5 separate regions of the Mus musculus genome follow, and all the other regions are reported to be linked to region 3. The links are microRNA targets in miRTarBase. Many come from high-throughput screens and were not tested one by one. Region 3 holds a microRNA gene; each other region holds the end of a gene's coding sequence.

Evidence for each region. Region 3 holds the annotated microRNA mmu-miR-26a-5p (UUCAAGUAAUCCAGGAUAGGCU, at 2,714-2,735, shown strand). A microRNA usually pairs through its seed, bases 2 to 8, with sites in the 3' UTR of a target mRNA and lowers its output. Matches are read on the target gene's strand: a 7mer-m8 pairs with bases 2 to 8, a 7mer-A1 pairs with bases 2 to 7 and ends in A, and an 8mer does both.
Region 1: miRTarBase lists Etnk1 as a target of mmu-miR-26a-5p. Seed matches in the 3' UTR shown: 7mer-A1 at 3,376-3,382 and 7mer-A1 at 2,618-2,624.
Region 2: the mRNA of Phf6 is a reported target of mmu-miR-26a-5p. Seed matches in the 3' UTR shown: 7mer-A1 at 2,835-2,841 and 8mer at 1,647-1,654.
Region 4: miRTarBase lists Sapcd2 as a target of mmu-miR-26a-5p. The part of its 3' UTR that is shown has no 7-base or 8-base seed match.
Region 5: miRTarBase lists Mlf2 as a target of mmu-miR-26a-5p. The part of its 3' UTR that is shown has no 7-base or 8-base seed match.

Annotation. Positions count from the first base shown.
Region 1 is chr6:143,202,933-143,209,087 of GRCm38, reverse strand. Etnk1 (ethanolamine kinase 1) reads right to left here. Exons shown (of 8, transcript NM_029250.2): 7 at 5,936-6,009; 8 at 542-5,704. The coding sequence ends at 5,632. Among named protein-coding and RNA genes, the nearest start is that of Gm52926, 37 kb to the left of the region's middle.
Region 2 is chrX:52,951,850-52,958,299 of GRCm38, reverse strand. Phf6 (PHD finger protein 6) reads right to left here. Exons shown (of 11, transcript NM_027642.2): 10 at 4,722-4,848; 11 at 1,339-4,394. The coding sequence ends at 4,722. Among named protein-coding and RNA genes, the nearest start is that of Hprt, 33 kb to the left of the region's middle.
Region 3 is chr10:126,992,830-126,999,279 of GRCm38, forward strand. It overlaps Mir26a-2 (microRNA 26a-2), which reads left to right and starts at 2,701; the gene lies at 2,701-2,784. Ctdsp2 (CTD (carboxy-terminal domain, RNA polymerase II, polypeptide A) small phosphatase 2) reads left to right here. Exons shown (of 8, transcript NM_001113470.1): 4 at 179-280; 5 at 1,023-1,079; 6 at 3,026-3,118; 7 at 3,197-3,382; 8 at 3,532-6,450. The coding sequence ends at 3,657. Mir546 (microRNA 546) reads left to right here and starts at 5,611; the gene lies at 5,611-5,731.
Region 4 is chr2:25,374,436-25,380,885 of GRCm38, forward strand. It overlaps Sapcd2 (suppressor APC domain containing 2), which reads left to right. Exons shown (of 7, transcript NM_001081085.2): 3 at 517-629; 4 at 1,250-1,396; 5 at 1,533-1,640; 6 at 1,729-1,839; 7 at 1,917-3,778. The coding sequence ends at 2,045. Among named protein-coding and RNA genes, the nearest start is that of Sapcd2, 5.6 kb to the left of the region's middle.
Region 5 is chr6:124,934,380-124,940,829 of GRCm38, forward strand. It overlaps Mlf2 (myeloid leukemia factor 2), which reads left to right. Exons shown (of 9, transcript NM_001170341.1): 6 at 1-40; 7 at 207-366; 8 at 854-1,066; 9 at 1,244-1,770. The coding sequence ends at 1,041. Among named protein-coding and RNA genes, the nearest start is that of Mlf2, 6.2 kb to the left of the region's middle.

The sequences.
Region 1 (6,155 bases), not on the chromosome of region 3:
CTGGAAGTATGTTACGTCACCAAGTGGACTTTGGAAATGTATAGCCTTACCCCATTTCCTGTCCTCTTTTTCTATGTGGCTGAAATGCAATCAGCCTAATAGGGTAGAGGATGTCTTTAATCCTAGCACTCAGGAAGCAGAGGCAGGCGGATCTCTTTTGAGTCCTAGCATGCTTCAACCTGGGCTCATATTTTCTTGGTTAGGTTGGGAGCCAGCAAGCCTCAATGATCATTTGTGCCCCATGCCCCTGGAGCTGAGGTTAGAGGTGAGTGGAGAGCTTGCTATGTGGATGTTGGGATACAATTTTCAGTCGTCATGACTACTGGGTAACTCCTCTCCTAAGAAGAAGGATCTCCAGCCCTCATTACTAACTCTGGGAAACTTTTGTTTCTTCTCTTGTTTTAGGGATCAAACCTAAGACACTGACTGCCCTTGCTAGGCAAATGTTCTACAACTCAGCTCCAACCCTTTCAAGTCATGTACTTCCATATATTCATTCTACAAGAGAGAGTCTTAATTGAGTATGAACCACATGGACACATTATAGTTAGAACTCAACTTTATTGTTACAACCAATGTTTATTTACAGAATATAAATCTCTTCAAAAAGATACATTCCTTCATTTAATCAATGGTAGAAAGCCTTATTAAACAGAAATAAAGCCTAAGCCGCACTTTATCGTAAAAGAAACACGGCTTCATTGCAAGTTCATGAACACAGAACACAAATGTACTTCACTTCAGCAGCGTCATGAATGAGGCTGTTGATTTTCACTGGCAATGCCAATTTATACATGGAACAAATTTTACTTAAATTAACAGTAGTAAAAATTAAATTTCAAACATAAAAATATGTAACAACAAAGGAAAAAGCAGGAAGTATCTCTGCTAGCAGACAGATAAGCAAGCTGTCCAGCACGCAGACAGTGCTGCGGAGTCGGGGAAGCTAGAACAAAGGCTGCGCTCACTGCGAGGTATCACTCCACGGTCAGTGCTGAGACTAGCCATAGCACTTAGTCTATACAAAGCAGCATTAGACTACAATTCACATTTGAGAAACACAAATTTAAGATCCTGTGCCATAGCTCCCCAATTCAACAGACAGCTAATGCAAAGACAACTCCTCACTTCAGCTTTTTCCCTTGCATATGATAGGTAATAGCATGTCTTCTTCTTTCAATCAGGACATGTGACCTTGCTGTACAAAAGCTCCTAAATACAGGAAAGTTCTTACAAGTTCCATTAGTTTACAGTTACTTTAGTACATGTAAATACAGAGGACGACTCCAGATTACTAACAAGGAACACTCAGTACGTCGCTACCTACAACAAACAGCAGCACGCCACAGTGCAGGGGTGGACAACAGGCACTCCCCGCCCTCCACCGCTCTGCAGGTGTCATTGGGTTTCAACCTAGCTCTCAAGAGTTTGCAGCTAGGAAGCCTGCAATTCCAATCGGATAGGCTTTCCTGCTCCACCTTCGCAAACTAATCAAAAGACAATGTGGTGTTCTCAGTTTTCTATAACTACCTAGTGTTTTATTAAAACTTACTTGACAGGATCTAAAGGACCACCATGGGTAAGACAACCAAAAGATAAAATTATAACTATTTTAAAGAGTATTTTTGCAAGTGCATACGCCATACAATGCACAATGGACAAAGATAGGTTGGTGGTGCCATAGTCTACAGTCCAGGAGAGAAAGAAGCGTCAGCCAACACAGGAGTTAAAGTGCTTATCGATCAAGCATCACGACTTGTTTCTAATCCAAATACTTTGGGGTTTCTTCCCGTATCAAACTGAGCCAAAAGTGAAAATTTTCAGCATTAAAAACTGCTAAAACCAATCTAACTCATTCTGTAACGTGTCACTGAATTTAGCCTTCAAGAATTCAAAGTAATGCAAAGCCTTCAGTATTTTCGTTTACAGAAACATGGACTGAAATTCCAGAAATGGGGATGTTTTGTCTGGAGCAGCTGATAGCATTTGTCAAACCCAAGACTGAACACTGCTGTCACTGTGGGGAAAGGCGGCTCACCACCTACTCAGAACAGGAACGGGCCAGAGGATGCAGCTCAGCTTCACAGTAAAGGCCAGCCTACAATCTGACAGAGGAAAATCAGCAGCAGTTGAAGCCAGAGACCTGTCAGGAGGCTCTCCACCTGCACACACCTTCCCTGTGAGGTAGCAGAAGCTGCTGCCACGAGGACAACCCCAGGACAAAGCATGGTGACAGGTGACACGTTAACAGGGAATACTTAAGTCTACAGTACTCTGGAATGCAGGATAAAATGCTTAAAAGCAAGTTAGAGAGAAAAAAGTAAAGTCCCACCTGATCCTACTGCCCTCTGTAAGTCAGTCAGTGAGGTCACCAGGAGACACGGGCTCTGCGGACAACTGAGACAACTGAGTACTTTTCAAATATTCTAACTTTTCTTTCGAGTGTTTGCGGGAATTCTTTTTTGTTAGCAACACAAAGTTAAAATAAACATTTGGGGGTCAGGGAGAGAAAACTAGTTGGCCCACACTGAGCCACTCCAGAGGAGAGGCCTGACAAACGTGAGAGACGTCATTTGCCCTGTGTCTCGTATGGATGAGATTTACATTCACATTGAATTTCAAGTTTTTGTAGAAAGTGTCAACAAACTCTGAAAATAGAAAAGGGGACCACACTTCAGTTTACAAACAAATTATATTTTTAGTTTCCTTTAGTTTCAAATTGTGACTCAAAGATGAGCTCTATAAATATACTGCTTCCCAGAATCTAACCTACAAAAAAAATTAATAGCCAAGTAAAAAATGGAGAAAAGTCGTATTAGGCACTGAGAGGCTAAATAAATAAATGCCAACGTTAACTAAACCATTAAACCTTCCTTCCAGTTCCTGCTATCTTACTGCTCGGTTCCCAGCCTAATGACAACAGGCTGGATCATTTAGTGACAGAAAAACTTCTACAAAGGAAAATGCAGAACTACACACTCTTTAGGCAAGACAACACTCACACTAATTGCAGCAGCTTATTTACACCGTCCTATTTACACTCCAAGCAGACCTAGTTGATGAGGGTTGTGCTCATGTTCATCTCAGGCAGATCATGCCAACAGCAAGACGGGGCCACCACATCTCATTTCCAGAAATGGTGGTAGCACAGAGGGAGAGGAAGGCTATCAAATATCACTGGTCAGGTTGAAGGTCATACAGTGTGCCAGGGAAACAGGATGGGGGTGGAGGGCAGAAATGGGGAATTTTGCTTGTGAAAGCATCCAGGCCACTACGGTCTATTGATTACATTGAACATCCATGAATGCCACTTCTAACATCCACTTTCACATTTACAAAACGAGCTTACTACCAGTTGAGTGATTAGGTAAGGCATTCAAGTTCCTTAGCTGAACAAAAGAAGGCAACTGATATCTAGCAAGCCACAGGACACATTTTAGAGGGATGCTCTTCAGAACAGTCCCAATATACCCTCTTTAGAATCCCTTACATGGTCAATACAAAGAAAGACATTTTGAATCCTCTTGATAGTCTACACCATGATCCCCAAAAGCTGTATGAGAAGCGGGTGCATCAGAGCACCCAAATCTGGCCAAGGAATGGGGGCAAGAGTTCCCGTGTGCTGGTCTCTCTCCACGATCTCTTACGTGCTAGCAGGGTGAACAAGGACGCCTCGCTGTCATTGCACTCACGCCACAGGAGCCTGTCACATTTCCGCTGGCTGCTTTGCAGTCCAGCAGCACCGGCAGCAGCCGCAGCCGCCGCAGCACAGTGAGCCTCCATTCAAAGCATTCTCACGAACAGGAACAGACTAGCAACACTGTCTTCTCCAGGGTTTCCACATGACACACACTCTCGGATTTTAAGGAGGAAAGAAAAGAATCAGGAGGCTCACATTTTTATCATCCTACGACAATGTTTCAACCATGAATGAAAATTCCACTAAGCCAGTTGTTTTTTCTTTTTTCAGGTTTGCTTGAACGTTGTAACGAGCTTGTCATTATTTGTTTCCATTCAAGGAAGTCAGCAAAATTGTAATGATCTTACAGTAAGTAACGTGGTTCATAAAAACAAACATGAACATGACAGCACTGGGGAGGTAGAAACCGAAGCCAGGTCTAACACTGTTAGAGACACATATTTAAGAGTGTATATATGTGGCTAGAATTTACCATTTCAAATGGCATGTTTCTACTTTATTAGGTTTGAACACCTTGAGACAATCCAAGTATTTGAAAGCACTTGGCTGAGAACATAAGTCATGTGGAACACCAGACAATCTTAGGATAGATCTGTAGTGCATACTTTAAATATGCAGATCCATGGAGCCAACTTTGTACATAAGCACTTATGTGACCAAAGTGCAAAGCCTGTCTGACTAATCTAAGTAAAGTTACCCCTGACTGCTCAACCCACAGAGCAGTCTTCAAAGATTAAAGCCTTCTTGTCTACCTCAAAGACCTAACTTTCTTTCATGAAATAGTTGCCTCCCCCTACACATCCACAAAATAAAAACTAGACTGACAAAACCAAGATAAATCAAAACAAGTCCTCCTACCACAACTACTGTCTAATTCACATTTCCTTATTTGTTAGATTGTAAGTAGTCAAGCTCAATGACCTAGCTAAATGTTCCTTACTGATTCTGTAACTGCTTCAACAACACTACTCTGGAATCACATGTATAATTAATCATTTGCTGACTCTACAGACACAAAACCAACTTAAGGAATGGATCTGAATAAAAAGCATCTAAATGATATTCCTTGCTTCCAAGTATGATGAACTCTGTATGTTTGTTTCAAATACTAACAATACCAGCTATTACTTAATGAACAAAAACAGAGTATCTTAAGTAAAACAAAACTTTTGGTTAGAAACAATTTGATAGGTAAATTCTAAAACTTGGGACTATGACCTTAAATGACTGTATCTAGTATTTGAAAACATGACTTAATAACAGATTTTAACATTAAATTGTTATATTCCAGGCTTATACAGTAAATATATTTTATATTGTCAGGCTATGTAGAGACAATTTAATTCTAAGTTGTACTCCCCCAAAAGAAATGATTTCCAATTTCCAATTCAAAAAAGTATACCCCAGGAGACAGTAACTCCCTTACTCCCCCCTCAATGGGCCCTTCTCTAGAATACCCTAAGTTACTACTGAGGCAGTGACTGCCAAGGTTGAGAGTAAATGATTCATTTTACAAAGGTTACATTGAACAACAAGAATGTTTTTCTGAAATTAAATCTATCAACAAAACCTTTTAAAGATTTCCACAATATTCTCATTGCATACACTGAACCAACAAATGAAAGATCAAAGTAGTCAGTCATGTCAAATCTGTAATAAATAATTCACATGTAACATGGCTGTACTGCCACAGGCTAAAGCCCCACTCCTCACTCTCCCTGCTGATGGTCAACTCTTTAGCCCGCCACACACTGACAGCAGTAAGCATATCTCAACATCATTCTATTTAAAAATAGGTTGGTTGTTTAGAGGCATAATCCTTAAAGCAAGATAACCAAATTAAATGAGTTTTAACAAATATTGGCTTTTGGAATTTCTCAGAAACATCCACAAGCGTCGCTCGGCTCCTGGAGAACAGCGAGGCCTCTTCTTTACTCGGGCATTTTTAGTGCTGTGACCTCAGGCTTCATTTTAAAGTACTGGTTAAAACGGACAACCGCATACCTAGTGGGGAAAGAACAAGGCAGAGTCAGAGCTGCCCTGAGCTGACTGCACAGAGGCCACACTGCCAGTGTGCATGCTTCACCTGCTGCTGCTGCCCCTGCTGGACACGCCCCGTGCTGAGCATGTAAGTGCATGTGGCTTTCACAATGCTGCAAACAGACACGGGGCTCCCTGTCCTGTCTACACTAGCTCAACCTCGTGGAAAAAGAACCTCAGTTAGCATCGTCTTACCCAAGGAAGTCGAACTCGATCGTGGAGTACTTAGCTTGTATCAAAGCCCAGAGTCCCCAAAAGAAATGAGAAGCCTTCAAGAGAAGAAAGAGCAATAAGTATGGAAACATACTTGGTACATGATACAAAAATTGTTATTTCTATACATGTAGGGTACTTCCTTTTTTCTCTACTTTCTAGCCTTCAAAATATCTTTTTCCTTCTGTTAATTTTTACACAA
Region 2 (6,450 bases), not on the chromosome of region 3:
CATGTTGTACATGTGCCTGTCATATGGCTCATAGCTCCAGTTCTGGAAACCTCTTCTGGATTCCTTGGGAACTGGAACATCTCTCTCTCTCTCTCTCTCTCTCTCTTTCATATTCTCTCTCTCTCTCTCTCTCTCTCTCTCACACACACACACACACACACACACACACACACACACACACACACACATATACAGACATGCAGGTACACACACTCCTTTTTTAAAAAAACATATGGACCTGGTAGGTAAACTAAGCATGATTGTACACACATGTAATGTAATACCAGTACTTGGAGAGATGGAGGCAGGAGAATCAGTAGATCAGTCACCCTTGATTATATATAGCTTATGCTGTATGACACCTTATCTTGATAAATAGACAGATGACCCTGTCATTAAATTTTGCTAGGAAATAGTAATAGGGTTTGGGTATGACTTTCAGAAATTGCTAGGGAGTGTAGACTGAAACAAAAAGCAAGTTGTCAACAGGTGTAACTAGGTAAAGAAAACCATATAACTCATTTTTATGTTTTTATTATAGTCTTTTAGTTGTTACTTAATCATGGATTTTAAATACTCTCTCTCTCTCTACCTCTGTCTGTCTGTCTGTCTGTCTGTCTCTCTCTCTCTCTCTCTCACACACACACACAATGTGCCAGGTAGTTAGGATGCATAGGAAAGCATACTACTGTGTGTCCCGGCCATCTTTCCATACGAATGCAGGTTTAGAAACTGTCTGGGAAAAGTGAAGTCCAGGAATCAAAACTTCGATTTCTGACCTGGGTAGGATCAAGCACAACAGATGTGCAAAGCTCAGCAGCAAGCAGTCTGTGGAAAAGGGAGTAACCTAAGTCTATGATGTGGAATAGCTCAAAGACCTGTTACCTGTCAAATAATCTGTACTAGGCATTTTGGTGTGTTCATTTTCAGAGTTACATACTGATTTGGAGGCAGTGGACTTGATTTAAGCCATGGGGATCTGCATCATGTATTAGAAGGACCAAAATAAGCTCTAAATCTACTGTCTTTCAAAGGCTGCTAATTCTTTCCATGATGACATCTTTATATTGTGAAACTCTGGGCAGATCATATTCATTTTTGTTTAACCACACCCCTCCAGTCCATCCGCATTTTGAGTTATGTGCTTTATCTACCATACCAGGGGACTGAAGTCAAGGCTAAGAGTATGCTGGAACTACTCGCTAGTCCCCCTCTCATATCTGTTTGCTGTCGAGCTATTATTAAACATCCTAGGCATTTGTATTTCCCCTTGAAGTAAAGGAAGAGTGAAAGAAACATGGCACTATTGCTGGTACAAATAACCCGATACACACTTTTACAAAGCAGACACAGACCTGAAATCCAGAACTCATTTATTGAATGAATAGTATATGCAAGAATACCATTAAAAGGAAACTAATACTACAAACTACAATTTTGAAAATAAAGCCAATATAACAGGAACAAAATATACATAACATTGAGGAATGTTTGATTTTTGACCCATGATGCATTCCTTATCTTTACAATTAACTTAAATGTCTGCTAAAACAAAACTGTGCCTTGGTCTAACTTCAGTGCTTTTTCAAAAAGCAACAACATTCTACAACACTTTTGCTTTGAGATATTTGAGATTCACACATTTGTTCAAGTACATAGATTCGATTCAATAGCAGATCTGTAGATCATGTTACTCTGTTAGTATCTTGAGTCGTGTGTACTAAGAACCACCTCAAGTTTGAAAACTGCTGATCCTTGACATGAAATTAATTTCTTGTGTGGGCTTTAAAACAATGAGATGAAAGCAAAACTCCCCCCTCCCCCCAGGAACAAAGAGGTCTTATTAAAGTATAGAAACTCAAGTCTACCCTTCTACTCTAAAGAACATTTCTTACTAACATTTCTGGTAAGGCAATAAATGCTCCAGAATAATCTTCAATATACGCTTGCAAAGATTACACGGTTTAATATTAATAATGACAAAAGGGAACAAAAGAAATAAAGAAAAAAAAACAAGAAAAAAAGACGCATCAAAATTTCAGGCTAAAAATACGCAGTAGACAGCAATGGCAGTATTTTTGGAAATGATGTAAATGCCATATATTTGCCAAATAATGTCATGCTTATTAAAACTACAGTTAAGGACTTAAGAGTTGTACAGTAAATACACTGCTGAGGTCTATTGATCTAATACTCCTACCACAATGTGACGCCTAGCCAGATGGTGAAGCTGCTACTTGGGAACGTAAGTACTGTACAATTTTTACATTGTAAGGCACTTTTACTCAGCATAGAATGAAAACAGGAACAAAGAATCAAACTATTGGAAGTTTACAGCCAAACGTGAGTGTTTAATGTGACTTCAGTTTACATTTCAACTTTAAATGAAGGTTATCTAGCCAATCACACCACAGTGAGAAAAACAGGTAGTTAGCCACTTATCTAACCAACCAAAAGGTAAAGTGCTTTTCTGGTTGCTAGTGGCAGAGAAAGGGCTGAAGAAACCCATACAAAATCATACATGTACTACATATCAAATCCATCAACTGACGGCTATAGTATTTGAAGTCCTTTATATAATTATTGACTGGCCATAATTACCCCTGGCACCTTCCATTTTTCTTAAAAAAAATCATTACAGTAGTTGTCCAAAAATGAAGGGGCTCCATTTCTCCATGGGTAAGTTCTATGGCACACAATGGAAAAATTACCTAGACACAGTGATTTAAAGATTTAAAAAAGAATGGTTTTCAAGCTGTTATAAGGAAATAAAGTACAGATCCTTTGGGAAAAGTCGCATCGCTTGGTAAACAAACTGAGATCTGTCCTTGCACTTCAAGTCATGATGAACCTTGAAAATTAATCACATACACATCATGGCATATTAAGAGCGAAAGGAGAAGACGCACAAGGCAATCCACTAAAGCTAGTTTCCTTCTAAAATAACAATAAAAGATGGTTAAAAGAAAGCAAGCATTGAGTCCCTTGATTTAAGTAAATGTGTAAATACACACCTTAACAAACATGATCTTAAGGGACAAGCAGTTTAAAAATTCAGTCAATAAGCACAGTGTAATTTTCCACCTGTTACATTTCAAAACGCTGTTCTACCAGCTACAGAATAGATGGATGTACAGTCAAGTTAGTACGTTATTTCTTATTTGCAAATCTGATTCACTATGGGAGGTTAACTAATGATGTGGAACTCAGAATCCTTACCTTTCATACTGAGGTGCTATGGTAATATTAGGCAGACCACAACTAACTTTTTTGGTTTTGCCATAAAGAAATATGTAAATGTGCTTCAGCAGGTAAGTGGATGTGTGTCACGAGTGAGAAATGCCAGTGGAAAGAAAGCCTTTCTAAAAATCTGGTGATTGAGAAAACACTTCCGAGCCCTCGAAGAAAAACAGGGCACAAAAGCTTATTCAATCTGTAAGCAAACTGATGACTGAAAGCATTAAATAATGTTTCTAAAATAGTGGTCACAGAGTCAAAAAGAAATACTGTTTTGCACAAAGATGGTTCCTTTAAAAAAAATGTTAGCATATAAGACCTCCTTATATATGCTGGGCCAATATGTGAAGTGTTCCACACAACAGGGCACTTGAGAGAAGCTGGTTTCAGACATGATGTCCAAAGTCCTTTAGCGCATTGCTGACCTCTTGAATTTCAAAGAGGTTTAATCTGATGTTGCCAAACATTATTTTGATCTTGATACGATTCCATTATTTTGCCAGAAGCTCTCTGTACAGCACAGAAAGGTGTACTGTCCAGAGTTTTGGCAGAAGCACTGGAGCTCAGAGCTTATCATCACCAGTCGCCCAGAGTCCATGCTGCTCAGTGAGAATAACTCTAAAAAGGACCACAGGTAGGCTTCAGCACGCTTCGTGAAAGAAATGGTTAGAGCATGTGCTGTCAAAGCCAAGACAAAAAGAAGAGTCTCTTCATTTGTCGTTTCCATTGCCCAAATTGCCAGGTGTTGCTACCAGAGGCATGTTTGCAAGGTGGAGTACAACTTGCTTCTGGTTTCCTTTGAGCGTGGATCTACTACACAAACTTACATACTCTAAACAGTACAACTTTGTTCTGTCCAGAAATACAGTTTACTTCATTCAATGTCTGTTTTAACTGCTGACAGTATACACAGGGCTAATAGTGTTTTGACTGCTTCCCAGAAACTGCAAACTACAGCTACGTAATATCAATATGTCAAATTCGGCCGTCTACTGAAGGCTCAGAAAACTAACAAGGTGATTTAGGCAGTTCAATGAAGGATCTAAGAGTCGGGCAGTAAAAAGTTACAAACCCTTTATTTTAGAAAAAAGTGGAAAAGAAGCACAGGAGTTATAGTTGTTTTTTCTCAGTTTTCTAACTCTCTCTGTCCCACGAACCTGTTTAAAAGATGATAAAAAAAAGTAAAATATGATGCTTAAGGTGATATAATTGACATAACATTATTAAGGAACAAGGGTATCTTACTAATGCCATATCCTAACTATGTTTACTGATGAAGTAGATAGCTTGTTTATGGCTCTAAAACGGACCAGGTAAAGAAAAGCAAATACAACTCTACAGGGCAGCCTGTAGAATCCTAACTAAGCATCCTGGCCCCACATTAGGAACTCTATACAATAGGCTTAATAGTTTTGCTGCATCTCATCATTCTGTTTTAGTGTGCACGGTGTTCCGACAACAGAGCTTTAAATCAACTTCCATACCTAGTTTCCATTAAGCTGCTGCTGGGTTAGCTGCTGATCAATCGCTACTCTTCCACGGCTTTTACTCTCTCGCTCCTCATCTTCTTCATCTCGCTCATCATTTCCACTATGGTTTTTACAATAGAGTCTACAATGATGAAAGACAAACATCTCAAAAATCCTTCTTCTAATGTTGATAAGAATATAATTATATAACTACTAGCAGAGGATGTTGGGTCTCTTATAAAATATGGGTTTGCTCCTTCATACTTAGTATCATATGTCATCAGATAACGGCACCTGACAATAGGCCCACATGCTTATTGTCAGAAGGAGACAACAGACACCCAGAACTTGTCCTCAGATCTCCACTTGTACACCATGCCACACACATGTGCCTCCCAACAAATAAATAAAATAGACTTATGAAATTTCTTTTAAAACACAACTTTTATGGATAGGAGGGCTTTGGTGAGTTTGAGGCCAGCCTGGGTTCTGGACTGAGACTGTGTTTTAAAACAATTCCAAACAAAATCCAAGAGTCAGCTTTGAGGTAAACTAATGAACTAATTAAAAGCCACAAAGTTATTTCATGTACATACTTTACAACTATATTTTGAGATACAGTTTTAAAACATATCTACTTTGTATTTGTCTGTGTGTATATGTTCAGCCAAAAGCCAAAGAAGGGTACTGGATCTTCTCAAGGAGCACAAAGTGTTCTTAACTACTGAGCATCTCTCTGGCCAAGGGATGGATTAAAGGTGCTTGCCACCAACCCCACTGGCCAGTGTTTAATCCCCAGGACCCACATTGTAGAAGAACACAAATATTGTAGAAGAACACAAATGAGCGAACAATACACCACACCATACACACACACACACACACACACAGAGGGAAGGGAATATCTATTCTCTATACACTGTTGCTTTCTGCTTTTATTTTGATACAGCCTTCCTCAAAGTCTTCCAATGCTGTCACATCACACACAAGCGTCCTTGCCTTCCCTACAATCTCTTCATGGGTCAGCTCTTCCACCTGCATCTTACTTGGCTATGTTTCTCTTCCTCTATACTGGACCTCCCAATTTCATTTCATGTCACAACACTGACCTATTAAAGACCCGACTGAAACAGACAGCTTGTCAGCTGCACCATACTATGGATTTGTCTAATGCCATTTTCTTTGCTTCTCTCTTACTCCATTTCATATAAACTAGGAATCAAATCTGAGTTTGCTAAGCTACAGGTCCATCTTTAGTCCATCAACCAGCATACTGCATAACTAATCCTGCTCACTTCTGGAGGCACGAGACTTCCAATGTTCCCCTATCAATGATGCTATACTTCATGTCATTAAGGTAGCAGTGACCAAGGCAGAGTGTGTCCTTGTATATGTATGTGCCTTTTGATAATTAGCTATGGAATGAAGAATGCAAGTTCAAGGCCTGACTAGAAAACCCAGTGAGACCCTGGCTCAAAAAAAAATGGGGGGGGGGGTGATGAGAAAAGAAAAAAGGCCTAGGAATATACTTCAGTAGTAGACTTATTTATCTAGCATGTACATGTTCAATCCCCAGAAACACACTCATGCACACATGTGCACATACACAGAAAAGATGATCTGAAGAAAATGTAGTATATGCGTTCACTAGAACTTTGCTTAGCTATCAAGAATACATTTTTATTGGTGCAGGAAAATGGATGGAAGTGGAGACCATCCTGTTAATTAAGATCAATTCCATGAA
Region 3 (6,450 bases):
ATGTTCCCACAGCCTTAGTAGTCTTTAGACCCCGCTGCCTCTGCTCTCTGCTTTTAAGCAGGACCTTCCTGTGTTGATGACTGTCTGCAGGCAGCTTGGCTCTTCCCAGTGTTGTGCTGAGGGGCGATTGGGCTTACTTCTTGTTGGGCACAGCTCAGCAGCTTGGCTCTGCTTTTAGATCCCTGGGACCTGCCTGCTCCCCGAGGTGACAGAGCAAGATCAAGGCAGGATCTGCGTGGTCATTGACCTGGATGAGACCCTTGTGCACAGTTCCTTTAAGGTGAGTCAGCGTGGTACCCTTCCCTTGGGCCTGTGTGAGCCGCACAGCAGGGTCAGTAAGGTGAGCAGATGAACGTGGAAATGACAGGGACAGGACAGGCTGTCGGCCACCCTGGAGTCACAGATACCCAGAGGCCAAACTGAAGAGGTTAAGGCACACACACACACACACACACACACACACACACACACACACACCCCACCCTAAATGCTGTGTCTGTCTCGACTTACCGTGGAAAAAGTAGGTAAGCATTATCTGGTTTTCCTGACTGGTGCGTTTGTTAACTCAAGAAAGCCTTAAGTTGGGTGCAGAGGGAACTTCCACAATCCCTGTGCTTGGGAAACTGAGGCAGGGAAATCACAAGTTCCAGAATAACATGAGTTACCCAGTAAGAGCCAGTCAGTCTTGAAAGAGCCAGGCATGCATGCTTGTGTGCATAGCTCACGGAAACAGGAGATGAACACGGCTAGCCCAAAGAGCCAGGCATGCATGCCTGTGTGCATAGCTCATGAGAGCAGGAGGTGAAGGCTAGCCCAGACTATGTAGCAAGACCCCATCTCAAAAGCCCTGAAACTTACCTCAGGTAGAATTTGGTGGGTAGGATGGATGGGTGGATGAAGGAGAAGGGAAACCGGAAAATATGTGATACTTTTTGCCCTGTGCTGGCTAAGAACTGCTCAGTGGGCTGTCTCCAGGGGGTAGGGTTTCCTGTCTGCTGACACTGTGCACTTCTGCCTTCTAGCCGATCAACAATGCTGACTTCATAGTGCCTGTAGAGATTGAGGGGACCACGCACCAGGTGAGCTGTTTGCCAGCATACACCCTGCCTCAAAGGGAAACTGCCTCTCAACCTGTTTATCATCAGCTTCCATGTTTGTTGATGGCTTGTCTCCAGATCATCCACACTTCCCTCTAGCCAACACTCCTGTCTCTATGTAGTCAGGCTGTTTGCAAGAACTGTTGGCTTTTTTAAAAATATTTTTAAAGAATTATTTGTTTTATGTATATGAGTACACTTAACTGTATTCAGACACACCAGAAGAGGGCATTGGATTCCATTAGAGATGGTTGTGAGCCACCATGTGGTTGCTGGGATTTGAACTCAGGACCTCAGAAGAGCAGTCAATGCTCTTAACCACTGAGCCATCTCTCCAGCCCAGGATAGGGTCTCTTTATTTAATTCTAGCTGACTTGGACCTCACAGAGGGCTGGAGTTAATTAAAGGCCTTCACCATTGTGTGCAGCCCCTGGCATTTTCACATCATAGTCCTAGCCATCACTGTGGCTTTTTAAATGTGCATTACTGGTTTTGCCTGCGTGTGTGTCTGTGTGAGGGTGTCGAATCCCCTGGAACCAGAGTTACAGTTGTGAGCTGCCAGGGGTTGCTGGGAATTGAACCCAGCTCCTCAATGAAGAGCATATGCTGTCCAGCCCATGCAGTCCATGCTTAGACCAGGCGAGCCTTGCTCTGTGTGCAGGGCTGTTAGGATTTGCTCCTGTGCCCTCTGGTGAAGAGCTACTGAATGTGTCTTCCCTGGCCCAGGCCCCTCCTATGACACCTTTCTGACCTCTACACTGGTTTCTGTAAGTGCTCCATATGCATCTGTCAGAGTGGCAGAGTCCAGGCTCTGCCGTGTACACCCTGCTGCCTAGGGTTAAGGACCACGAGGCATTGGTGAGAGACCATGTGCCCAGAGGCATGCTGGTCGGCCCAGGGGAGGGCCGGAGACAGTGATGCAGACATCCTAGCAAGCATGAGACCTGTTTTCAGACTGAGAAAGTTCAGCTTGAGACTGTCCTGGGTTTGTCATCGTAGCCCTCTGCCCCTTTACGAACTTCTGTACAGAGCCTCGAAGCTGTGGCTCTTTACTCCACCCATCACCCCCTGCTGTCTAGTTGAGGAAATAGAAATGTACAGAATGTATGGGGCTCTGGCATGGGCAGAAGGGGCCTGAGTGAGAGGGCTGCCTGCCATGTGGATCTGAGGAGAGCCTGGGAGGAGAGCAATGCTTGGTGAGGAAGGGGCTTGTTTGTGAGGCTTAAGAAGTGGAAGGTGATGGATAGATCCATTTGCAGCTGCATGGAGGGTTCTGCTGCTAAATGGGAGGGCTCTGCTCAGTTGGTGCTGATGTGGGCTAGGAGGGACTGGGGTGGGCACACCCCCTGTGCTGCTTTAAGGAAGTGAGTGAGTGGGCCTAAGGAACACTTGTGCAGGCTGAAGTAAGAAAGAAAGAAGAAGCAGCAGATCATAGACTGGGTGGCGAGTTAGTTGAAGAACCTTTAAAAGCGAGCAAGTCCTCGAAGCTGGTGGTGTGCACACAAACCTACGAGGGTGTGTGTTTGAAGAAGTTTGTGGTTCTTGCCAGATGGGACCTACACAAGCCGTCCTGCTGGAATCCCGTACAGAAGGCTACTGTGGAGGCTGCGGCTGGATTCAAGTAATCCAGGATAGGCTGTGTCCGTCCATGAGGCCTGTTCTTGATTACTTGTTTCTGGAGGCAGCGCATGGTCTGCCCTCAATGAAGATGGCTCCTGGGAGTGCATTCCTTCCTGCCGGGTTAGGGTTGGGCCTGTTGAGGCAGCAGAAGCCTGGTAACATGGTAGAGCTGTCCATGGTGGGGCAGAGGTCTCAGTGTCTCGACCTGGGTATCTAGGCCTGCTTGCTTTTCTGTCAGTGCACAGGCAGAGCCGGTGCTGTGTCCTTGGCCTTGTGGGGTTCCTACAGCAATCCACTCTGTCTCCCAGGTATATGTGCTCAAGAGGCCTTACGTCGATGAGTTCCTGAGACGGATGGGGGAGCTCTTCGAATGTGTTCTCTTCACTGCCAGCTTGGCCAAGGTACCTGACTGCAGGAGGGGCAGAAGGCAGGGGAGAGCCAGCCCTCAGCCTAGGCTAAAGCTTCTCCTTCTTTTCCAGTATGCTGACCCTGTGACTGATCTCCTGGACCGGTGCGGGGTGTTCCGGGCCCGCCTGTTCCGAGAGGCTTGTGTGTTCCACCAGGGCTGCTATGTCAAGGACCTCAGCCGCCTGGGAAGGGACCTGAGGAAAACTGTCATCCTGGACAACTCCCCTGCATCTTACATCTTCCACCCAGAAAATGCAGTGAGTGCTCGCATCAGGGACTGGGGTGGCTGCAGGCTGGGCCCGTGGGCTTTATCAGAGGAGTCCACAACCCCTGTGTGGCCCAGCAGCCTCCAATGGCACTGGAAAGGAAAGGAAATATCAGATAATGTCACTTTTTCCTGCCCCAGGTGCCTGTGCAGTCCTGGTTTGATGACATGGCAGATACAGAGTTGCTGAACCTGATTCCAGTCTTCGAGGAGCTAAGTGGAACTGATGATGTCTACACCAGCCTTGGGCAGCTGCGGGCCCCTTAGCCTTCCTGCTCCAAGAAACGGCCATCCCAACAGGGGACTCTGCTACACTGTGCCTTTGTGGTCAGCCTCACTGACGGGGTCTGCAAGTAGCCAGGGCGTGTGGGACAAAAGCAGGTCACACGCAGAGCAGGAAATCAGACCAAGACCCAGAGCTCTCTGCACCCCGTGCTCAGTTCCCAGGTGGTTGTGTGGGTGTGTGTGCGTGCATGTGCCCGTCCGGTAAACTATGGTCCTGGGTGCCCAGTTGTGCAGTAGGGGGAGAAGCTGAAAGATAAGGACTCAACCCAAGTCATTTGTCTTCTTTCCTGCTATGCTGTGAGCTACTGAGCTTTACAGCCATGAAAACTATTGTAGGCTCCCTCGCCAAACCATGGCTTTCCCTCAGCATCAAGACCTGTGCCAAGGAGAAGGGAGAGGCCGGAGGCTGCTTTGGATGCCCAGACACACATCTTTCAGAAAACACAGAAACCTAGCCAGCAGCTGCAGACATGTTTGGGAATATGAGAGCATGTTCGCAGACCCACCAGGTTCTGTGTCCTATGGGCTACACCTGGCTCCAGCAAGAATGCCTGCCATGGGCACTTCTCTGTACCCGGGCTCCAGTGCCAGGCCAGCCTCTCACTCCCAAGCCATAGTCCTACTCCCATGGGAAAGGAGGTCTTCTCTCTGCCCTGGAGGAGGACATATAGCTGATTTCTGTTCTTTTAACTCTTAAAAATCTCTTTCTAAACTTGGAGTGGTTTATATTCGCCCGAGCTCCAGTCCTGGGCCTGAGGTTTGTGTGGGAAGCGCTGGGGTACAAAGAAAATGCAAATGTTCAATGCAAGATGTCTGTCTCCTTGCGTGTAGATCCCAAAAGTGCTCTTCAGGGGTTCTGTGCTAGCTGATGCAAGGACATTAGCTCCAAAGGCTGGGGAGGGCTTGGCTCTCCCTCTGTGTCTTCCTGGTGTCCCGCCCTGGCCAGCTCTCGTCTGCTCTCGCCTTTATCCTTCTCGGCTGCTGCTCTTCCTCTCCAGAGCCTTGGGAGAAGGACTTTCCCCGGTTGTACTTAATTGATTGGTTGTCCCAAGTGTTGCTCTTACTTGATTTGCCAAATGCCTCCTGCTTCTCGTTATAGGACTGAGTGAGGTCCTCATAGCTCTGTGCTCTGGGCAGCTCTGAGCTCTCAGCCCTGTTGCTTTCAATGTCAGTCACAGAGTGGAAGTTTCCCCAAAGTGGAAAGCTACCATTGGGAACACAAGGGGCCCCTGAGGGGCCTCCACCTCACTGCCTTAAGTGAGTCCCGCCCACTCCCTGCCTCCCTCCGAGGTGGGCGGGAGTTCCTACCCCATCTCTGCTTCCCCTGGAGGCCGGCCAGCGTTTGTGGGTTGGTTCAGGTGTGGTACCTCCCACTCAGGAGTCAATATTTTCAAATTTTTCTAGTTTCCACACACGAGGTCCTGCCTGGGGTTTGAGAAAGCCTGGTGGAGGAGTGTGGTGGTGTGAGTGGAGACTGGCTGGCATTCCTCCAGCACTCTGCAGACTTCTTCCTGGGCCCGAGGCTATGGAGCCTTGGCTTTCACTTCTGTGACAAACACATGCCATTTCCCCAGCCTCATTTGCTGGTGTCTGTAGGGTCCTCCCAAGGTGAGCTGAGGGCTGCAGGTGCTAGCCAGGAACATGGGAGCTTGACTGTGGCTTCAGGTCCAGACCCTGATCTCACTGGCATCCCAATACTGCAGGAGGGGTCTTCTCACAAAGCTCTGAGGGCTGGTCTTGACTAAGCAATAAGAGCCTCAGAGTTGATTGAATTTTAAGGTCCCTTTCTGGCTTCTTGGTTCTCCATGTGACCAAAGCCCAGTGTGGCTTCATGGGAGCCCTGTTACTTCTCCATGAAACCCCAGCTCTCTAGGCCTGACTGCCACCAGAGTCCTCTTACCACCTGCAGTCTGCCACAAAGATGCCATATCAACTCCTCTCTTCCCAAAACTAAACAGGATCTATCATGGTGGCACGGAGTCAGCTAGATGTTGTCTCTTGCTATCCCTGTGCTAGTTCCATGTTTTAGAAGCAAAGTGATACTGGGGAGGAGAGGAGGGCAAGTGAGAGGAGCCAGTGCCTCCTGAAGCCCTTGCTCCACTGCCACCAGCCCGCCTGCCCCAGTGCAGACTGGTCTTCAGGAGTCAGTAGACCACCGGACCAGGTGTCAGCATCCACTCCAAGCCATGCTAGGAATCTGCCCCCTGCCGGGTTCAGCTCTTTAAGGTGCCTCTTCAGGGACACAGTGTGTGTCTGATTGGGCTTCGCATCAAAAGCCTGACGTTCCTGTCCCTCTTATAGGGGGAGCTTTGGACACAGGACCAGTTTGATAAAGGGCCAGGTAAGGGTTTCCACTCTGCACATTGTAGAGGGGACACCGAAGGCCCATGGGTCCCTAATTAAAGAAGTTGAGTGAATTTGCCTTCGTTCAACCAGGGACCTATCTCACTCCCTCCCAAAGATTTTTGTATAATTGTATAACCCCCCTCCCCCTGTTAACAGTGGCTCAGAAAAGCTTTGTACTAAAAGCATGGGACCCTCACAGCAACCATTCCTGGGAGATGGGTCCCTTATAGGTCCATGACCTGCTCTGTTCAGAGGCCTCTTGGCAGTGTGGCCTGTTTGTGCTGTCCTGCATCCAGTGTGTTGGCCTGGCTAAGTGAAAACGGTGAGCTGTTTCCCCTTTGGGCTACTTAACCACGGCTACTCCTTTTTTAAAAATGTCCTAGTTCTCCCCTACACACACACACACACACACGGTTTGATGAATTTCCA
Region 4 (6,450 bases), not on the chromosome of region 3:
GCCTGCTTGGAGCTAGAGTCTCTGTCTTGCACATCTGAGCCAAATATTGTATCTCTGTCACTCACTCGGATGGCTTAGCCTCGGGGGTGACCCTGATGCCACAGATAGGGTTGGAGAGCCCAAGGGAAGTTCAAAAGCTGTGGGTCACCACACCAGGGCCTATCCATTTCGTCTCTTGCCCTTCCCTCTTTGATACTCTTGATATATGTATCTGATATGTTTTGTCAGGCACTGGGTGACTCCCTGCCCCTGCTTCCTGCCTCCCCCACCCCCACCCCCAACCTCTCAGGGCAGGCAAGAGGATTCCAAGTCCTAACTAGGCACAAAGTCAACAGAGAAAGCAAAAGCACACTCAGGAATCAGTACTGACTGAGGTTCCCTGCACAGGCCTGGTCCCTGGGGTTTGTACTGTCGCAGTTAGCTGGAGGATTCTGGAAGGGCTGGGGAGCCAGGATGAGATTATGAGGCCATTAGGCTTGCCCAGAGTTAAGCTATGTCCCCGACTGTCTGTTACAGGTGCAGCAGCCTGTAAGACCCTGGGCAAGGGCACAGGTGAAGCCCGGCAGGCTCCACGGGCCCGAGGCGAGCGTCGAAGGCATACCATCACCAATGGTGTGGACTGCAGCCTGGTAAGAGGGGCCAGGACTCTGAGGGACTCTGTGTATCCAGAAGGTTGGAAACCAGGGAGATCCCATGGGCCTGGTTACTTGGGGAATCCCTGTAGGAGAACTGGTCAGCTTTTTCCCTTCTTGGGCTTAAGGGAAGACAGACAAAGTCAGGCACAGGGAGAAGAGGCTCCTTAGAGATGCCTGGAGACAGAGTGTGGGACCCTGCTCTGCCTACCAGGTAGGCTCACCTCTGCAGGCCAGCTTAGTGCACAAAGAGTATAATTACTTTAAGCTAGAGTGCTGAGTCTGTTCAGTCACTCCGCTGCCCTGGGAAGCCTCAGTAGAGGGGCTGAGAGGCCAGTCTCCAGTATCACCATCATCCAAAGAGGAGAAACTAGGCTATGTTCTCCAAGGCATACGTTGGAACCTTCCCTGGATAAGCTGGTGCTTTCCGTCGTGGGTGCATTGGCAGACTACACAGGTGCTGATGTCATTCATTGTGTCTGTGTGCTAGACTGCCTGTGGACAGGTCTCAGCTCCCACACCTGCAGCTCCTGGAGCACAAAGGTATGTGCAGGTGTGCATAGAGCCAGTCTGCTTGCTGTCATGAGTACATTTCCATGCTCACGTGTGTGTTATAGTTGAAGCAGATGAAGGAGTTAGACCAGGAACAGGAGGTGCTTCTGCAGGGCCTGGAGATGATGGCACGGGGCCGAGACTGGTACCAGCAGCAGCTGCAGCGTGTGCAGGAACGTCAGCGCCGCCTGAGCCAGAGCAGAGCTGCTGCAGTAAGTGCCAGGCCAGCCCTGACAACAGGACCCAAGTTGCCCTGGGGTGGGGCTCCCTTGAGGCTCTGAGCTGAGACTTGAGATGAACAGGTGTGCCAGGTTCCGGGACTTCCTCATGGTCCCGCTTCTTTTCCAGGACTTTGGGGCTGAAGGAAGCCCCCGCCCTCTGGGGAGGTTGCTGCCCAAAGTACAGGAGGTGGCCCGGTGCCTGGGGGAGCTGTTGACTGCAGCCTGCTCTGGCAGAGTGAGTGCTCTGGAGGCTGCCTGGCATCCCTTGTCCTTGTTCTGGATGCTATGCCAGGAAAGGTCTGGCTCACTGTGTACTTCCACAGGCTCTGCCTTCGTCCTCTTTAGGGCCCCTGGGCCCTCCCTCACCCTCAACTCCAGTCTGGCAGCAACAGACCATCCTCATGCTGAAAGAACAGAACCGGCTTCTCACTCAGGTGAGGTGTGGGAAGATGGGGCTGGGGCTGGAGGCCCAGCAAACCCTGACCGCCTGCCTGCCTGCTCGCCTGCCCAGGAGGTGACTGATAAGAGTGAGCGCATCACGCAGCTGGAGCAGGAGAAGTCTGCACTCATCAAGCAGCTGTTTGAGGCCCGAGCGCTCAGCCAGCAGGATTCGGGACCTCTGGACTCCACTTTCATCTAGTTGGTTGTACCTCTCTAGGACAAGTGCACACAGACTTAGCTTCAGCTCCATGACACTGCCGGGAGCCTGTCTTCTGACTGAAGACCACCAGGGCTTAGACCTCAGAGCCCTCAAGGAGGCAGCTGCCTCCAGACTTGGGTGCTGCTAGAAATGTACTCTGCCGGAAGCTGCCACTTGCCACTGTCAGTGGGTGGCGGAGGATCATCCTCACGTTTACCTGATTTCAGGCAGCCCCTACAGAGAAGGGGGCATGTTTACGTCTGTCCTGATCCACCTGGCAGGGTTTCCTGGGATCACTGGCTTAGTAAAAAGTACTGGTCACACTGGGCTGTATTTCTCATAATGCCCAGCAGGGGCTGCTAGTTGAGCTTAGTTCCTCTGCCCTGTCTTACCTTGGTATTACTGAGTGAGTGAGCAGATAGATTTTTGAGCTGAGGGTGGGCTAGGAGGCCCAGGAACTAGGAGGTTAGAGGTTCCTTCTGTCCACCAGAGGCACTATGGAAAGGTGGTTGTGGCTCAGATAGGAGCAGAAGGGAGACATGGAATGGGAGGAGGATGGGGCTATCTAATAGAGGGCTCTGTGCCTGTTGGAAGAGCCACAAAGTCAGGGGTTGTGTGTAACAGGCTGAGAAGGAAAATCTGGCTGCAGCTGGACCAGGCTAGTGTGGTTCCTAGAAGGAAGCCAATAACTTGGCTTACCCACCTTACCAAAACTAACTGTCTTTAAACTGTTAACTAACTGGGGAAAGATGGCATCAAGTTAGCTCAGGTTGTGGCCATCCCCCTAAGGAGGTCCTATCCCCCCAAATAGATAAGTTTGGGCCTCCCAGCCAAGTCATGCAGTGCACTGTGGGCAGAATACATCATTTATTATTATTTATTTTAAAGACAGGGTTTCTCTGTGTAGCCCTGACTGTCCTGGCACTCTCTATGTAGAGCAGGCTGGTCTCAAACTCTCAGAGATCTGCCTCTCTGGTACTGGGATTAAAGGTGTGTGCCACCACACCCAGCACGTCTGCATCTTTTAATGCCCTACTTGGCTCGGCAGTGTCATCGTTGACTTATCCATAGGAAAGCAACCCAGGCGTGTGGGAAGAAACTGAGCCTGTGGATGTGACTCTCTCCCTGCTTATGCCTCCCATTGGCAGCTTGGGTGGGCACAGATTGGATGAGGAGAACCTATTTAGCCTGTTCTGGTGGAGCACTGAGTCGTCACAGGTGAGTTCTGTGGCCTGAAGACTCCAGTGTGGAATACGAACCCATTGTGTTTGGCCAGCAAAGCGACCTGATCAAGTACAAGTTAGTCCAGCACCCAAACCATCTTTTTCAGGAACTGGAGTGGTTTCTGGGCATGGAAGAAAGCTAGTTCTAAAAGGTGGTTGTATTCTGCAAGATTAGTTTACCCAGGTGGACTTGCCATCTAGAGACAGGTTTCCATAGCAACAGGTTGGGTCTGCCCCTCCATCCCCATAGCCTCCTTTGTGTTCCTTGTTTTACCTCTGTACCCTTCCATTCCATGGCTTGCCACTCCTGTCCCTCAGGTCCTAGAGACACTTGACTAGACTCCAGACTGGGGCTGACTCTGCCTATCCCATAGAGATAGGTCTCAGCAAGGTCTAGGCCTTGCCAGGCTCTTCAGATGGCCAGGCCACCTCAGATTCACAGCTTCACGTTCTGTTCTTGGCTTTGCCCAAGATAGCTATTCTATCTACAAAATAGAATCCTTTCTCTGCACACTAGGCCCTATTTAAATTTGCTCATGTCATGTGACACAGCAGAAAAACAAAGGTGGTGGCTGGGGTGGCAGAGAGGCAGAAGGGTCTTTTGAGTTTGAGACCAGCCTAGTTGACAGAGTAAGTTCCAGGGCTGCAGGGAGAAACCCTGTCTCAAGCCCTCACATACAGTTGGGTGGGCATCTCACTCTCTGAAGTGTCTGTCACACCTTGAAGAGCTGCCTTTCCCTCCTGACATCATCACAGGGTCAGAGGTAAGAGATGGAACTGTTAACATAGCCTCTGCTCCAGGGTGACATTCCTTGGGAGACCTCTCACGTGCCAGGAGGTATATTGAAACAAGATGACACAGATGGGGATTCAGCAAACATAGCCTCACAGCCTTGATATTCCAAGGAGGTGAAAACCACATGCTCGTGCTTTCTATAACACTATCGTTTCTTGGAAGTCTGTGGCCTGTAGCCAGACTGCCTGGGAGGCCCTAGAGTCCCCAAGGGAGGATTTATTTTTATTTCCAGACACCGGGTTTCTGTGTAATCCTAGCTGTCCTGGAACTCAGTCTATAGACCAGCCTTGTCTCAGAGATCCACCTGCCTCTGCCCCCTGAGAGTAAGGATTAAGGGTTTTCGCCACCACTCTCAAGGCAGTGTTTTACGTGGTCCTGATAGGCCGAGGGGCACTGCCAGAGGCCAGTGCGGATCCTCATGGAGCCCCAGACGCAGTAGTATAGAGTAGGAAAGTCTCCTGCAGGCTCACCTGTCTTTTCGAACTGCATACTTGACCCTTGGGTGTCGGTCATGCACATAAACTCCCAGCTGTGACAACACAAACTGTCTATAGAGACATCTTTCACTGCTCTCTGGGGAAACTGCCCTGGTTGAGAGGAACACAGATACAACAAACAGGTTTCAAGCATTTTGTGTACAGTAAGTTCTAAGGAGATGAGCTTTTCTAGGCTTAAAAAACAAAACACAGGTCACAGAAGCCAACAAAAGACAAGATCTGAGCGGGGACGCTGGGGCACTAGAGTGGGCACAGTAAACAGTAACGACACTTTAGCTAAAGTGAAAAGGGATTCTTTTTTTTTTTTTTTTTTTTTTTTTTTTTGGATTTTCGAGACAGGGTTTCTCTGTGTAGCCCTGGCTGTCCTGGAACTCACTCTGTAGACCAGGCTGGGCTAGAACTCAGAAATCTGCCTGCCTCTGCCTCCTGAGTGCTGGGATTAAAGGCGTGCACCACCACGACCAGCTGATAAAGGAATTCTTAAACATGTGAATAAGGAATAGCAGGTGCAAAAGGTGTTACCTTTCAATAGAGTAAAAGGATGTCAGACAATGTGAATCAAGTAGAACTTCTAGAAATGAAAAACACTGCAAGTAAGTTTCCCCAACCCTTCATTCCAGCCAGAAAAGAACTATGTTTCCAGAAAGTTTAGGAAGCTGTTCAGAAGACAACCCTAAGCAAAGGACAGAGGGGGAGCCGGAGGAACCGGGGGAGGTAAAGGACCTTGGCTGATGGGTGAGGCTGGGTATGGGAGACAGAAGTGTTCCGTATGTCTGCAGCCCTGTGAGTATCGTGGGCTGTGTGGAGGCATGGATAGTTCTGAATACCATTCAACACGAAACTGTGAGTTTACTTTAAGCCTAAGTTTTTGGTGTTTTGTCCATGGCTGTATCTCTCTGAACATGCCTGGTCTCATCTGGTGGGATTTCTTATCCCCCCTGTTCTTGAACATGAGATTGTGTGACATCTTGTAGATGACATCGTGTTCCGATGTCAGAAGGTTAGACTTGCCAGCCCACCATCAGCTCTGACCATCAAGAACACCAGCAGTAACTGGAGAAGGAGAAACTCAATCTTGCTTTTACAAGGTCACAAAAGGAATACAATGACCAAAGATGAATCACCCATCAAAAACCCACTAGAGTGGCAAGAAAACAGAAGAGACTTATCTAAAGGAAGAAAGAGAACTAGCCAGAAGGAACAGGGACCGCTAGGAGGGCAGTGTTGGGGGCAGGTATGAGGGGATGCTGGCAGTGTGTGTGCCGGGGCAGGGGATATTGAGAACAAACAGTATAATGACGCACATGTATAGAAATGCCATTAAGAATCCATTATTTGGGCTGGATTCTGGCCTATTGAGAGCACATGGATTCAGTTCCTAGTACCCACATGCTAGCCAGACTTGCAAGCAGGAATAACACTAATATACATAAAAAACAAACTAAACTAAAAGGCACAGTAGGGTGCCTGCACTTGGGAGGCAGATGCAAATGGATCTCTAAGTTCTAGGCCAGTCAGAGCTACATAGCCAGATCCTGTCTCAAAAGCAAAGCAAACAAAACCCCTTATTTTTAGATAGCAATGTAAAATTAACTTTAAAAACTCAAAGGCCAAAACAATGTAAGTATTCACTTCAAAGTGTACCAAGAGATGCTATCTTTACAGCACAGTGGCTCAAAACATTTTCAAACAAAATTGGAAGTTTACCACCTAAAGGCTATCAGTAATGGGAATCTGTGGCTGTATCAGGAGGAAGGTAAAACTCAGGAAAGATTAATTGATAAAAACTGGGTTGGCCGGGCAGTGGTGGCACGAGCCTTTAATCCCAGCACTTGGGAGGCAGAGGCAGGCAGATTTCTGAGTTCAAGGCCAGTCTGGTCTACAAAGTG
Region 5 (6,450 bases), not on the chromosome of region 3:
TTACCAGGAGACGTCGGAGATGCGCTCTGCCCCAGGCGGGGTGAGTAAGGAACCCCTCTATCTCAGAGGAGGTAGGATGGATCGGCATCCACAGGAACCAGGGTCATCTGTTTTCAGGACTGGGTCGTGGGTGGCTGGTTCGTCCCGGGGAGATGTAGCCAGGGCTTTGTGGGGAGAAGTGAATGAGCCTATTCACCTCGTCCCAGATCCGGGAGACACGGAGGACTGTCCGGGACTCAGACAGTGGTCTAGAGCAGATGTCCATTGGGCATCACATTCGGGATAGGGCTCACATCCTCCAGCGCTCCCGAAACCACCGCACAGGGGACCAGGAAGAGCGGCAGGACTACATCAACCTGGATGAAAGTGAGTGAGCCTGTCTTCTTCTGGGCAGCAGTCCCTGAGCTAGTTGCTGTAGACTGGAGCATAGCTTTCTCTACCATCCCACAGGTATCTCAGGCAGAGCTGTGGGTGAGCCCTGTGCTTAGGCTCTGTTGCCAGCTTCAGGGCTGAGTCAGGTGTTGCCAGGGAGGGGGCAGAGCTTGACTGACGTCAGGTGCTGATGGTTGTAGTTTCCTCTATCGGGATTGGTGGCTTTTCTTTTCCACCCTTTACTTTGTCTTTCTCAAATGAGTGCTTTATTAGCTTTCGTGATGTATAACTCCAGTAATTGTGCCTCCCCATGGTGTGTAACCCCAGTAGTTGTGCCTCAGGCTTGCCAGTGGCATCCAGGAACTGTGTTGAAGCTAAGATGGCTCCCAACCCCCATTCTCCCATGCATGATCTCAACCTTTGCCCTGGTTTCTGATCTCAGAATACTGTGGCTTCCATGGCTGCTCTCTGTCCTCTTTAGGTGAGGCAGCAGCATTTGATGATGAATGGAGAAGGGAGACATCCCGATACAGACAGCAGCGTCCTCTGGAATTTCGACGGCATGAGGCATCTGTGGGTGGGGGGCGAAGGGCTGAGGGGCCTCCCCGCCTGGCGATCCAGGGACCTGAGGACTCCCCCTCCCGACAGTCCCGTCGTTATGACTGGTGAAGGCCCCAGGCTCTCAGCTTCTCATGTAAGTGCCTGAGAGGGAATAGTGGGAATGTGACAGACCAGAGGAGGCTGGCTGGCAGATCAATGTAGTTAAGCTGTCGTGGGACAGGAGACTTGCTCCTTCTGAGTGGCTGGAAGATGCTCCTGACCCCAGACTTCTGTGTCCTTTCTCTGACAGGCTCATCTTTCCTTCCTCCAGGTGCAGGCTGAGCGGCTGAGTAACCATCCTTGAAATGACTGTCCTTTCCAACCTCTATCCCAATTTAATATTAAATTAACAGGCAAGCTGGCCCCGCCTCTCCCTGGGTCTCAGGGAGAGCCTTCTACTGCCCCCCTTACCTACGTTTCCATCTTCACCCCTCACTGCGTGTCCCACCCATCCTGTATCCACTAACTTGAGTTCTCATGTTGCTGCTCCATCTCCAAGCCGCCTCATCTTCCCGAGCCCCTGCCACGCATCGAAGGGTTTTGGGGAAAGCTCTGGGTTTAGGGATCTCCGTCCCTCAGCTCCCCTGACCCTTGCCCACCTCTTCCTCAGAGCCCCACTGCAGGTGCCATGGTCCTATAAGGGCTGTGGAGAAAGTGGACTAGTTCCAATTCTTTGTCCCTTCCCCCACCCATCACAGAAACACTTTCCTTTACCCTTCTCTGCCTTTATAAAAACTAATGATTTGTGCAACTTGTAACTAGGTGTTTATGGAATAAAGGAGAATGGAAAAAAGTGAAGATTCTGGCTGTACTTTTGCCCCAGTTCAACCCTGCTCAATCCTACCTTCTGCCATCTTGGCTCCACATGTGGCCCAGCTGTCTTAGGGTTTCTTTTGCTGTGATGAAACGCCATAACCAAGGCAGCATATAAAAGAAAGCATTTAATTGGGGGATTGCTTGTTGCAGAGGTATGGCCATCAGGGCGGGGAACAGAGCGGCAGGCAGGCATGATGCTAGAGCAGTTGGCCTACATCTGCTCCACAAGCAGGATGGAGAGAGAGACTGGAAATGGCTTGGCCTTTTGGAACCTCAAACCCAGTGACACACCTTAGTCCTTCCTAAATAGTCCACCACAACTGGGCACCAAACATTGAATTATATGAGCCTGCGGGGACCATTTTCATTCAGACCATACCAGTTCCTGGGTAGTGACAGGGCTGTTGCAGCTCAGCAGGGATGGGGTGGGGGTGTTTGCTCTCCCTGGTGTAACTTCACTCCAGGGTCATATTGGGGTACAGACTGTAACCTATGGAATTGGCTGTCCCTTCCGTCCCTTGGGCAGGGTTGTTTGCCAAGGCTGGGCAGACATGCACAGGTAGCTTTACCCGAGTTTCAAGAGGGAAGGATTTCTCAAACTCATCAGCCCCTAGCTGCTGAGAACTTGAGCCAGGGAAGGAGAGCAGTGGAGAGTAAGCTGGAACCTGAGCAGTCTGGAGGCTAGGAAGAGCTCACATTTCTCTGAATGCTCAACTCTTGCTTTGCAGCCAAATGGGTCACCCTGTCCCTCCTACATGCTGGGCAAGCACTTGGCCACTGAGCCAGGTTTCTTTCTTTTTTTCTTTTTTTTTTTTCTTTTTCTTCTGCAGACAGGTCTCACACTGTAGCTGAGAGCAACCCTGAGTTCCTACTCCTCCTGCTTGGGTTATAGGCCTGTACCACCATGCTGAAGCGTTTCAGCCTATTCAGTCTATTCAGCTGTTATTTTGCTGATAAAAGTTAAAATAGAAGGCCAAGCGTGGTGGTGGTGGTGAATGTCTTTAATCCATCTGGAAGCAGGTGGATTTCCACAATTGAGGCCAATCAGGACTATATAGTCAAAACTGTCTCAAAAAAAAAAAAAAAAAGGGAAAGACCCTCTCAAGGAAGAAAGGATTTTGTATGACATTCAGGTCCTGACTTAGCTTAGACAATCACTGGCTAGAGGGCTGGTGAAGGCTCATGCCTGCAGGGGCAGCATTGCCTGGGTTTTGAAGCTGGTAATTGAAGCTCAAAGCATCCCCAGTCATTTAAGTATAACCCCTGACATGATGATGGCTAGGCACGTACTTCCTGTGTGTACAAGTTGCTCTCATCAGTCTCCTGAGGGGTTAGCTAGGGTTGAAGAAAACCAGAAACTTGGTCTCCAGGCCAGTCTTCCTATAGCTTGGTCTTCTTGCTTACCTGGGCCTCAATTACATAGTTACATTCCAACTGCAAGCAATCTTAGGGTGTAGTTCATGCGTCCCTCTGCATTCCAGTGCTAGTCCCCACATTCCAATGTTCTTTGGAGTCTGTTTGTTTTGCAGGCTGGGTTCTCCCTGGTGGTAGGGTTCCAGGCTGGAGCTAGTCCAACCAGCTCTCAAGTGTAGCTATGGGTTGTCTAGAGCAGGGCCAGGACCCTGGCTTCTCTGTCACAGCCAGGACTTCACAGTTTGGGTCTCGGTTTTCAGGCACACAGGTTCATTGTTCTGTTTGTGTAGTGCTGGGCATAGGACCTGGGGCTTTCTCACATATGCTCGACAAGTGTCCTACCCCTGAGCTACAGCCCCAGTCCTTAGGAACTAATACTCCCCTGGTCTCTGCTCTCTCGGGTGGGTCATGATCACCTTGCTTCAGCCTGGCCCACGTGATGGTAGTGCTTACTTAGCGACATGTTGTAGGATACAAGGTGCCAGCAAGAGACTGAGTTACCGAAGAACAAGTCATTTGGGTGACTATTCCCAGCACCTCACCTCTGAGGTCACAGTGAAGAAGAGCTGGGAAGCAAATAGAAAGTGGTGGCACATGCCTTTGATACCAGCACTGGGAAGCAGAGGCAGGCAGGCCTCTGTGAGTTCTGGTCTACAGCGTGGTCTACAGAGTGAGTTCCAGGTTAGAACTGTGAAGAGTCAGTCTCTCTCCCTCTCTCTCTTTCTGCCTCCCCTTCTCCCTCTCTGTTTCTGTCTCTCTCTCTCTCTTCCTCCCTCTCTCCCTTACACATACACACTTTCTTTTTGTTTTTCCAGGCAGGCTCTCATGTAGCCCTGGCTGTGCTGCAAGTCCCTCTGTAGACCAGGCTGATGTTGAACTCAAGAGATCCACCTGCCTCTGCTTCCCTACTGCTGGGACCAAAAGATCAAGCCACCACCACTGGCTAAGAGACCCTTTCTCAAAAAACTGAAAAAAAAAAAAAAAAGTTACTCTCCTCAGGAATGCTGGTGTGTTGCTTTGGTCAGCTCTCCATCTGGGCTCAGCCTCCTCCGCAATAGGTTCCGCCTCAGTCCCCAGACAGTAGATAGACATACTCAGGCCTGGCCTCACCCCAGAAAAGTATAGGTCAGAAGGGGCGGGTCTAGGGCGTGAGGCTAAGCCAAGTGATGCAGAGGAGCATGCTCAGTAGTGAGCGAGCCCCAGCCTAACTCTACTGCTTAGGAGCTGCTAACTGTAAGAGGATCATCTTTCATAGTTCGTTCCCTGTGTGGGCTTTGCTAGAAGCTGGAGGTGTGGACTCATGGAATCACACCTCAGAATTGTGAATGGAGTGCAGAGGACACATCATCGGGAACACAAACCAGTGTTCTTAGGTTTCTTTTTTTTTTTTTTTTTAAAGATTTATTTATTTATTATATGTAAGTACACTGGTACACTGTAGTTGTCTTCAGATACACCAGAAGAGGGCGTCAGATCTTGTTACAGATGGTTGTGAGCCACCATGTGGTTGCTGGGATTTGAACTTCGGACCTTCGGAAGAGCAGTCGGGTGCTCTTACTCACTGAGCCATCTCACCAGCCCTGTTCTTAGGTTTCTATGACTCTGGTGATCCTTCAGCCCCTACTGTCCTCCGAGCTCCTAAAAAACGCTTCAGGTACGAACTGGAAACCATCCTCTTGGCATGGACTCCGCCCCCTAACCATCATCCTTTGCTTCCCCCCATCTCAGCCTTCAGTGCGATGCTGAGATGACAGGTGGCAACTAGAGGCTTGGCTCTGCTCTGCTGCGGTTTGGAGTTCTCTCTCCTGTTGTAATGGTCCCAAATTCGGCATTTTCTCTGTCTTCCCCTACTCTGTATCCAAGTCCTATAGATGACGTTACCTGGAGAATCAGGAAGTGACCTGCACTTAGATCACAGCAATGCTGGGCATGTGACACTCACCTGTAATCCCAGTACCTTCACTCCGGAGGCTGAAGAAGAACTAAACTCCAGACCAGAGTGGGCTACGTACTGCAGTAGTTGGATGCCAGCCCCAGGCTATATAATGTCTCAAAAGAAACTAAATTAAAAAGTAGTAAACCCAGCAGTCTATTCTGTTAGTTAGATTCTATCTCTCTATCTACCCATCTAATTTTTGTTTTGTTTTGTTTGTTTGTTTTTGAGGCAAGGTCTCTCTCATAGCCTTGGCTGTCCTGGAATTCATTCTGTAGACCAGGCTGGCCTAGAACTCACAGAGATCTACCTGCCTCTGCCTCCCAAGTGCTGGGATTAAAGGTGAACGCCACTGCAGCCCTGTTTCAGCTCATGTATTAAAATGCTAACTTGATTCTGCATGTCAGGACAAGTCCTGCTCCCAAGGTCCAGGGGTGGGGGAGCATCAAGGGCCAAAAGTCCCTTCTCTCCGCTCTTGTTAAACTAGGGGCAGCAAAGAGACCTTTTACCTCTGCTGGTTTGGTTTGGTTTGGTTTGGTTTGTTAGTGGGGAGTTAAGTTGTTGTTGATGATGTTGTTGTCTAGATAAAGGCTTGCTATGTAGCTCAGGCTAGCCTTGACCTTGCCACTTCACTGCTACCTCAGGCTGAGGTATTGATATTGAGGTATTGATGAAGTGAAGAGATTGTGTTTAGACACAGAGCTGGCTCTGCCTGAGGGAAGGATACATTGTGGGATCTGCCCTGCTCAGGCTGCTGGCTCCTGGTCAGCCTGAGGTCCTGTGCACGCCCCAAGAGGGGGGTTTTCGAGTGACTGGAGTGCCTTGCCTTTCCTCTGCCCTCTGATATCCTCCTGAGTGTGTCTCCTCTTGGATGGGTGTGGAGTGTCCCCTTCTTGTTTCTCTCTTTTTTTTTTTTTTTTTTTTGGTTTTTGGTTTTTCGAGACATGGTTTCTCTGTATAGCCCTGGCTGTCTTGGAACTCACTTTGTAGACCAGGCTGGCCTCGAACTCAGAAATCTGCCTGCCTCTGCCTCCCGAGTGCTGGAATCAAAGGCGTGCGCCACCACTCCCGGGCCCCTTCTTGTTTCTTGTAGCATCAACCTCTTCCTGCCTGACCCCTGCTGCTCAGGGACTGTGGGTTCTTTAGGGACAGCAGTGGCAGTGTCCTCCAGTCAGGTGGCCCTGAGGGCTTGTCCTGACATGCAGAATCAAGTTAACATTTTAATATATGACCTGAAACAGGGCTGCAGTGGTGTTCACCTTTAATCCCAGCACTTGGGAGGCAGAGGCAGGCAGATCTCTGTGAGTTCTAGGCCA